2 linked regions of the Oryzias latipes genome follow. The protein of the gene in region 1 purifies or fractionates together with the protein of each later gene. This does not show direct contact. Links are inferred from orthologs where the notes say so. Each region holds a gene or a part of one and is shown in the gene's direction. Other genes may lie near its edges. The genes, in order: ppp2r5d and ppp2cb.

What was found.
Region 2: the proteins of ppp2r5d (region 1) and ppp2cb purify together in Homo sapiens (affinity purification with mass spectrometry; 8 studies listed by BioGRID and IntAct, counting the BioPlex papers as one, with this or other methods). This does not show direct contact. The link is inferred for Oryzias latipes from reciprocal best matches to the Homo sapiens genes PPP2R5D and PPP2CB.

What each region holds. Positions count from the first base shown.
Region 1 is NC_019873.2:12,875,410-12,879,229, forward strand, and holds part of ppp2r5d (serine/threonine-protein phosphatase 2A 56 kDa regulatory subunit delta isoform), read left to right. Parts: intron 1-436; coding exon 437-490; intron 491-585; coding exon 586-756; intron 757-2,461; coding exon 2,462-2,589; intron 2,590-3,267; coding exon 3,268-3,369; intron 3,370-3,661; coding exon 3,662-3,734; intron 3,735-3,820. UniProt on the Homo sapiens protein: The B regulatory subunit might modulate substrate selectivity and catalytic activity, and might also direct the localization of the catalytic enzyme to a particular subcellular compartment.
Region 2 is NC_019867.2:193,496-198,003, forward strand, and holds the end of ppp2cb (serine/threonine-protein phosphatase 2A catalytic subunit beta isoform), read left to right. Parts: intron 1-1,073; coding exon 1,074-1,244; intron 1,245-1,895; coding exon 1,896-2,069; intron 2,070-2,146; coding exon 2,147-2,236; intron 2,237-2,983; coding exon 2,984-3,145; intron 3,146-3,234; coding exon 3,235-3,353; intron 3,354-3,465; coding exon 3,466-3,538; 3' UTR 3,539-3,998; downstream 3,999-4,508.

The sequences.
Region 1 (3,820 bases):
ATCCACGTCTCTATTTGTGCCCTTTTCCTCTTACTGTGACCTATCTCCTCCTCTGCATCAGCACACATGCATCAGTAACTGGTTTTTCTCTGCACCAAAACGTGAGTAATGAAGTAAAGAGGGTTTCTGTAGTCTAGTGATTGTAAAACCAGTACGAAGCCCATTAAGACGATTGTTGTTGTGATTTTGGGCTAAATAAATTATTCTGTATATCACGTCACTGTCTTACTGACAAGTAATTGTTCTGAAATTCAAGGTTTTCTCTATAGAGAAATTGGTCTTAGTTTTTCATAGCAAGATTTTAAAAAGGGTTTTTTTTTTAAAAAAAGTCTTAAATTGAACTTAGAGGAACACGTAGGAACCCCTGGTGTGTGCATGTGTGCTGGTTCCTGAATGTGTGTTTGCTGCTGATCACCCCCTACTTGTGTGTCTGCAGCTGGCATACTGTGTGGTCCAGTTCTTGGAGAAGGACAGCAGTCTGACGGAGCCTGTAAGTACTCAACACAGTTTGGGTTGCTGTTGGTTCCTGAATGCAGGAGCTCTGGTGAAGCTCTCTAAACAGAACCTTGTCTTTGCCCTCAACAGGTGATAATGGGTCTGCTAAAGTTCTGGCCCAAAACCCACAGTCCAAAGGAGGTGATGTTCTTGAACGAGCTCGAAGAGATTCTGGACGTCATTGAACCCTCGGAGTTTGTGAAAGTCCAGGAGCCACTCTTCAGACAGCTCGCCAAGTGTGTTTCCAGCCCACACTTCCAGGTATCTCAACCAAGACCGCTTTTTCCATCACATGCCTCCAGTCTTTTTGTTATTTTTTAACTTGTTCTGTCCAACAACTGAGCAAACAGATGAGCGCTGAAGGCTTTTCGTGTTGGACAGGTTTTACTGTCACAAAAAGAGGTTATATATCTTCAGATAATCAGAATGTAAATGTATATAAACCCCCTTTTTTAAAATTTTTATTATTCTTTATTTATTTGTTACATTTAGTGTGTGCGGGGAGGGAGAGGGGAAAAGTGTGTGTGTGTGTGTGTGGGGGGGGGGGGGGGGGTTGAAGAGAATAAAAGGGAGAGAGAGGGAGAGAGTGGGGAATACAAGCGCCGATTTGAATAAGTTATTATTTTAAGCTGTGTAACAATTATACCAGATCTGCTGAAAAGACAAATATTACATCCGAAGGTGAAATTCTAAAACTAAGATGAGCGGAAGACATCTGTCCATCAATACACTGTGGGTTAGGAGGAGGGATGAAGCAGACAGGGAGCAGTGTGGCAGTGATTACCCGCGCAACCACAGCACCACCCCCCACTACTCAACGCTCTATGACCCCCTCACCTGCCATGTTCCTCGACACCTCCTCCCATATCACCCCTAATGCCCTCCCCCCTCTACAATGGGGAGGGTAAGCCCCTGCGTGTCACAGCGAGCCAGCCCCAAGGTCTGTCCCCACCCATGCACTCTCGCACGCACACACACACACAATCTTCTGGTTGCCCCCCACCCCCCGTCGCCACGCAGTAACCACCCTCAGGCCGATCGACACCCCCCCTCCCTGATCCCATCTATGTATGGTGGTGCGGGTGTACTGTGTGTGTGTTGCAGGTAAAATAGGAGGTCTCCAGTGTGGCGGGCCCTACCGCTGCCAAGCAGCAGAGCCCCCCACCCCTGGGTCCCTCTGTGTGTGGTGTCTAAAGTGGAAGTTAAAATTGTGGGGCGGACCAGTGAACCACGTGTTTGCAGTCTAACAAACATGTATGCAGAAAGGTTTAAAGACCCGCTCTGATCATCCTTTGATTTATTATTAAAGAGTTCCCCATATTCTTTCAATTATAGTTATGTTGTTTTCAGCCAAAATCAAAAAATCTGTATCGCTTTTTAGGACATAGTTTCTGCAGAGCGACAGTAGGTCATTGGAAATTTGCTTAAATTGTGGGAGGAACCAATGGCGCAGAGCAACCCCACCCCCTCTTCCCCTCCCCGATGCTGAGAGCTCAGAGCAGGCAGCTTATGACCCGCCCAGTGTGTTTTCTATCACACATATGCTCTTTTTCAAACAGCTATTTTCTTTATAAATGTCCTCCATCGGAAAAATGCTACAAGAACGTGTTAAAAACACGATTTCCATTGCAGTGGCTCATCAAGTTAAGCATGGGTTTGTGCAAATGCATACATTTTGACAAACACACACAGGTTTATTCAGTTACAAAATATAAGTTTCATGCAAACATTAGATTAGATTAGATGGGCTTTATTAATCCCACGATGGGGAAATTCTTTTTGTCTGCGGCAGCAGCAACATAAGTGGAAGGAACGTTAAGGCAAGTGTTTGCACAAACATGACATTTCACTGCTGACTGTGAGCTGCAGCTCAGGAATGTGTTCGAATTCCTGCTGGTTCTTGATGCCCATGGAGGATTTTAATAATGTTGTGTATGTTTTTGTGCTTGTTGTTGTTTTTGTGCAGGTGGCAGAGAGAGCCCTGTACTACTGGAACAATGAGTACATCATGAGCCTGATTAGTGACAATGCTGCCAAGATCCTCCCCATCATGTTCCCCGCCCTCTACAAGAACTCAAAGAGCCACTGGAACAAGTAATACACGTGCACACACGCGTGCACACACACACACACACACACACAGACAGTATCTCCTGTTTAAAGCATAGATTTATTCTAGAAGTATGTCTGCATAAATGTCATTTAGGTTTATAAAGCCTCAATGAACAAAGCTACAGAAGAAGTGCAATGAGACACGAGGACAGAAGTTGCCCATGGGGGCAGCAATTCTATCAACATTTCATGCAGGGGGGGGCTGAATGGTCACTGTCCTAATGTGACCTTGAGATTGATCAGTTGGATCTGCTGTTTCCATCAGCGAGGGCTTGATGGCAGTGAGAACAAACCCTCCTCACGTGCACTGATGTGTGTGCGTCATAGCCAACGGTTGTGTTCTGTTTTTCTTCAGCGCTGGGGAGTGTAACCTTTGGCTCCATTGGAGCGTCTTCACTCTCAAACACGATCATTAAAAGCAAGCTTCCACCTCATTTTTCTGTAACGTCTGTGTGTTCAGCCCTCCCCAACTGCATCGGTGTGCCCCCTTCATCTAAACGGGGCCCTACATGTTTGTTTTTACATCTAAATTTAGAGTTAAAGGCTGAAAATTATGTTTGAAACCAGGAGCACTTACAGGCTAGGTCTCTGTTTGGAGGCTCTCATTAAGTTCTGAGGATTTGATGCATGAACTTGTGAAGCATTTCCCTTCTTTTTCAGAACCATCCATGGGCTGATCTACAACGCCCTGAAGCTCTTCATGGAGATGAACCAGAAGCTGTTTGATGACTGCACACAGCAGTACAAAGCTGAGAAACAGAGGTGCGCCACACTGACCCCTGCTGGACTCAGCAGGAACAAATTCACAGATCATATTACCAAGAACACAACTACCTCCATAAATTTGTCATAATTTGACCCTAACACTTTGCTTTGACCCTCAAACACGCGCAGCCATACACATAGCCACTCCAGCAAAAGCTATGGTTCCTCATAATGCAAAGTTCTAAGTCTGGTTGGTCCCAGCATGAGCAGATGATCCGTTTAATCGGTTCTTTTGTTTGTGTGGACACGAATGTTCCTGTGTTCAGATGTTTATGTGTGTTCTCCACAGAGAGAAGTACAAGCTGAAGGAGCGTGATGAGATCTGGCAGAAAATTGAAGTATTGGCCCAACAGAACCCTCAGGTATTCACTATCAACTTTGTTCTGGACCAAAGGTCAGAAATAAAGTCTTAAGTCACAAGTTGGATGCATTTAAATGATCCAGACTG
Region 2 (4,508 bases), on another chromosome or scaffold:
CCAGCTCTGCTAAGTCAGTCCGCCGGTCTCTCGCGAAGCGCAGATGTGAAAGCAGCAGCGAGCAAAGAGGAGCTACTAACCCTGCTCAGAAAAAAACACTAACACGCACCGCCAGACGTGCTCCTGTCACATGACTTCTGCTAGTTTCCTCCGTGTAGCTTCAGTTGAAAGAGATGAAGCAGCAGAACATGTGAGGATTTGTACCAGAATCCAGGACGACCTGGAGGACAAAACTGCTGGATTCACAGCAGCAACAGAACGTTGATAAAAAGGGTGGATTTGGAGACAGCGGGTCGTTACACACTGATGCTACCATGCTATGATACTAAATGCTACCATGCTATATGCTACCATGCTATGATACTAAATGCTACCATGCTATGATACTAAATGCTACCATGCTATAATGCTAAATGCTACCATGCTATAATGCTAAATGCTACCATGCTATGATACTAAATGCTACCATGGTATGATGCTAAATGCTACCATGCTATGATACTAAATGCTACCATGCTATGATACTAAATGCTACCATGCTATGATACTAAATGCTACCATGCTATGATACTAAATGCTACCATGCTATGATACTAAATGCTACCATGCTATGATACTAAATGCTACCATGCTATATGCTACCATGCTATGATACTAAATGCTACCATGCTATGATGCTAAATGCTACCATGCTATGATACTAAATGCTACCATGTTATGATACTAAATGCTACCATGCTATGATGCTAAATGCTACCATGCTATGATACTAAATGCTACCATGCTAAATGCTACCATGCTATGACGCTAAATGTTACCGTGCTATGACACTAAATGCTACCGTGCTATGATAATAAATGCTACCATGCTAAATGCTACCATGCTATGATGCTAAATGCTACCATGCTACATGCTACCCTGCAATGATGCTAAATGCTACCATGCTATGCTAACGAGCTGTTCCGTGTGTCATCTACATGTGATCACGGTTTAGTCAGACTTTGTTTTCACGTAGCGGATTTTAATACATGACGGATAAATGCAACATGACTTGATGATGACGGTCTCCTCAGGTGCGATGCCCGGTGACCGTGTGCGGCGACGTTCACGGTCAGTTCCATGACCTGATGGAGCTCTTTAAGATCGGAGGGAAGTCTCCAGACACCAACTACCTGTTCATGGGAGACTACGTGGACAGGGGCTACTACTCTGTGGAGACGGTCACGCTGCTCGTCACGTTAAAGGTAACCCTCGTTAGCAGACCTTCCTGCTGAGAGTGGGAGCGCCTGAGGAGGTGGGACTGCATCTGATTGTTGTCAGCAGTCTTCTGTGGTCACACCTGCACAACTGTCAGGTTTCTGCCAAATGGTAATATGGGAGGCCGTACCTGCAGTTGGAAGAGGTGTGTTTGTGTGGCAGAGCGGCAGCGGCAGTGTTGTGTGTTCCTTTCTGTGTGTTTCTATGTTTCCGTGTGTGTTTGTGTTTCTGTGTTCGTTTCAAGGTTTCCGTGTTTCTATGTGTCCGTGTGTGTCTGTGTGTTTGTGTTTTCTCTGCGAGTTGGCGGCTGTTTTAAGAAGAAATGTTCTTAAAGGTTACCTGTTTTTAATCTTAATGGTTGTCCGTTTTGGACCGCAGACACTTCTCCTGAATAAGGAAATTAATCTTGAAGTCGGTCTTTTCAGTGGCTGTAACTCCGCCCACCTCCTCAAAGTTTGCTGTAAAGGCGGAGTCAGAGGTCCCGCCTCTGCGTGCAGCTTTGTGGTTGTCGTTGGAGGACTTTAGTCTCGTTAACCAGATCGCAGAGGTCTTTCCTCGGTTTCTCCGGAGGTGTGCGATGTGTGATGCTGTGGAACCTGCTGGCAGCTGGCAGTGTTCATGTGAGGTTTCATGCGCAGGTTCGATTCCCAGAGAGGATCACTATACTGCGAGGGAACCACGAGTCCCGTCAGATCACACAGGTCTACGGATTCTATGACGAGTGTCTGCGGAAATACGGCAACGCCAACGTCTGGAAGTACTTCACAGACCTGTTTGACTACCTGCCGCTCACTGCGCTGGTGGACGGGCAGGTGAGAGCCGCTACACCCAGACCGTCAGGCCATGGAAGCAGGAGCTCTACAGACACTGTCCTTTGCTGTCCTTTCAGATTTTCTGTCTCCACGGCGGCCTGTCTCCCTCCATAGACACTCTGGACCACATACGAGCTCTGGACCGCCTGCAGGAGGTCCCGCATGAGGTACACGCTCCTCACTGGACGTCCCGCTCAAGTGTTTTGGGCCTTACGTCATTCCAATCCTTTGATTTGGAGTTTGTGCCGATACAGAGTCCTGATCCAAAACTTTTGTGAAGTACTTTAAAAAAAAACAAAAAAAAAAACAAATTAATGAACAGATCCATTTTTTCTTTTATTCTCCTCCTTTTATCATTCAACACTTCTACGATTAAGTAAATCCTGCAGCTATCTAGTACGAATAGTTAACTATAAACTAGTCAAAACTGCTGATAATCATGGCAGAAAGTTTGGGGACTGAAGCTTTAGTATCCTCAGAATTGTTGAACATTTTTAATCGGAACAGGAAAAAATCTCAGCGCCGTTTTCAATCCTGATGGTTTTTCTCTTAAAATCCTTTCGTAGGTCGTTGTTTACGTGACACTTGCCGTCAGTTGAAAACATTTTATTAAGAGTCATTGACCCGGAACTCGAAGCTGTGAAAAATTGTGGTGATTCGTTGATGAAATGCAGACTTCTAGTAGAGTATTTATCTGGAATAATAAGCTTGAAATGATGGTATAATCGGGTTAGGGTTATGTCCGATCGGGAGACACGTCTGATTTCAATCCAGTCTGCAACCGATCGATCAACTCCGGTTTGCGATCACGTGGTCGGAGCGGGACAGCCCCGACAGCAGCGTCCTCCTCTGCTGCAGAGCAGAAGGTAAGAGCTGCACAGGTTGGTGTTAATCTGACTCCCCCCACCCCCCAGGGCCCCATGTGCGACCTGCTGTGGTCTGACCCGGATGACCGCGGTGGGTGGGGCATCTCTCCCAGAGGTGCTGGCTACACTTTTGGACAGGACATTTCTGAAACCTTCAACCACGCCAACGGCCTAACTCTGGTGTCCCGCGCCCATCAGCTGGTCATGGAGGTGAGACTCCTCATACACACACACACACCCCCGGCTGTTAGGATGGATGGGCCGTTTGTGATCATGCACCCCCACCCCTCTGTCTGCAGGGCTACAACTGGGGTCACGACAAGAACGTGGTGACCATCTTCAGCGCCCCCAACTACTGCTATCGCTGCGGCAACCAGGCAGCCATCATGGAACTGGACGACACCCTGAAGTACTCTTTGTAAGTCCCACCCCCCCGGGTGTCTCTGGATGGAACATTCCTAGAGAGTCCAATCATCATTTCATCCAACGTGTCTCTGAATCGCACCTTTACTTTCATCCTCTCTCTACAGCCTGCAGTTTGACCCCGCCCCCCGCCGCGGCGAGCCTCATGTGACTAGACGCACTCCTGACTACTTCCTGTGAATGTCCTATTGTCCCCCATAAGTCATTCACCAAGCCCCGCCCCTGCCCCACCCCTCTCATTTTGAATGGAGAAGATGCATTGAGCAGATTCAACAGAGCGGTGATGTCACTAAAGCTGAGCTTCAGCCGCATGTTAACCTTCATCTTCTCCATCTGACATGTTTGAAAACAGGAGAATAAAAAAGTACCGACGTGGACCAAATGTGCCATATTTTGATCCTTTTCCAACAACTGTTTTTGTTTTTTAGAGCTCACTATATCCCCGCCCGTCTCCACCTTCATCCATCTGTGCTTTCTTTCTGTTGCCAGATCAGTTTAAAGGAAACGTAGGAGAGTTTGCTTCAGTAGAACAGCTCTGAGTTTCAGCTGTTAAGGCTGCAGCCAGCAGTCATCTCTACTATATTACTGTAATTTCAATGAAGACAACAGACATGTGAAATAAAATGTCCTATTGACAAACCGCTGCTGTCCGTCTGCTCTGTGCCAAACAAACTGACAAACCTGGATGACATCACAGGGGTTCACTGACACCTGGATGACATCACAGGGGTTCACTGACACCTGGATGACATCACAGGGGTTCACTGACACCTGGATGACATCACAGGGGTTCACTGACACCTGGATGACATCACAGGGATTCACTGACACCTGGATGACATCACAGGGATTCACTGACACCTGGATGACATCACAGGGATTCACTAGCTGAATTTACATGGACAAAAGTAATCGGAAAGAACGCCTGATCGGAAGAAAAATGCGTCATGTAAACACGCCGTTCGTAATACTCTGACTTGTTCGGATCAAAATTTCTTTCCGATCGAGATAGGTGGGTTATGCCGATTGTGGATTCGATCGTTGTTCATGTAAACAGTTCATTCCGATCGTGTGTCACTACTGCTCTGGTTTGACGTCATACATAGATGGTGTTTTGCTCCATAGAAGCTTTGGACCGACCTGCTGCGTA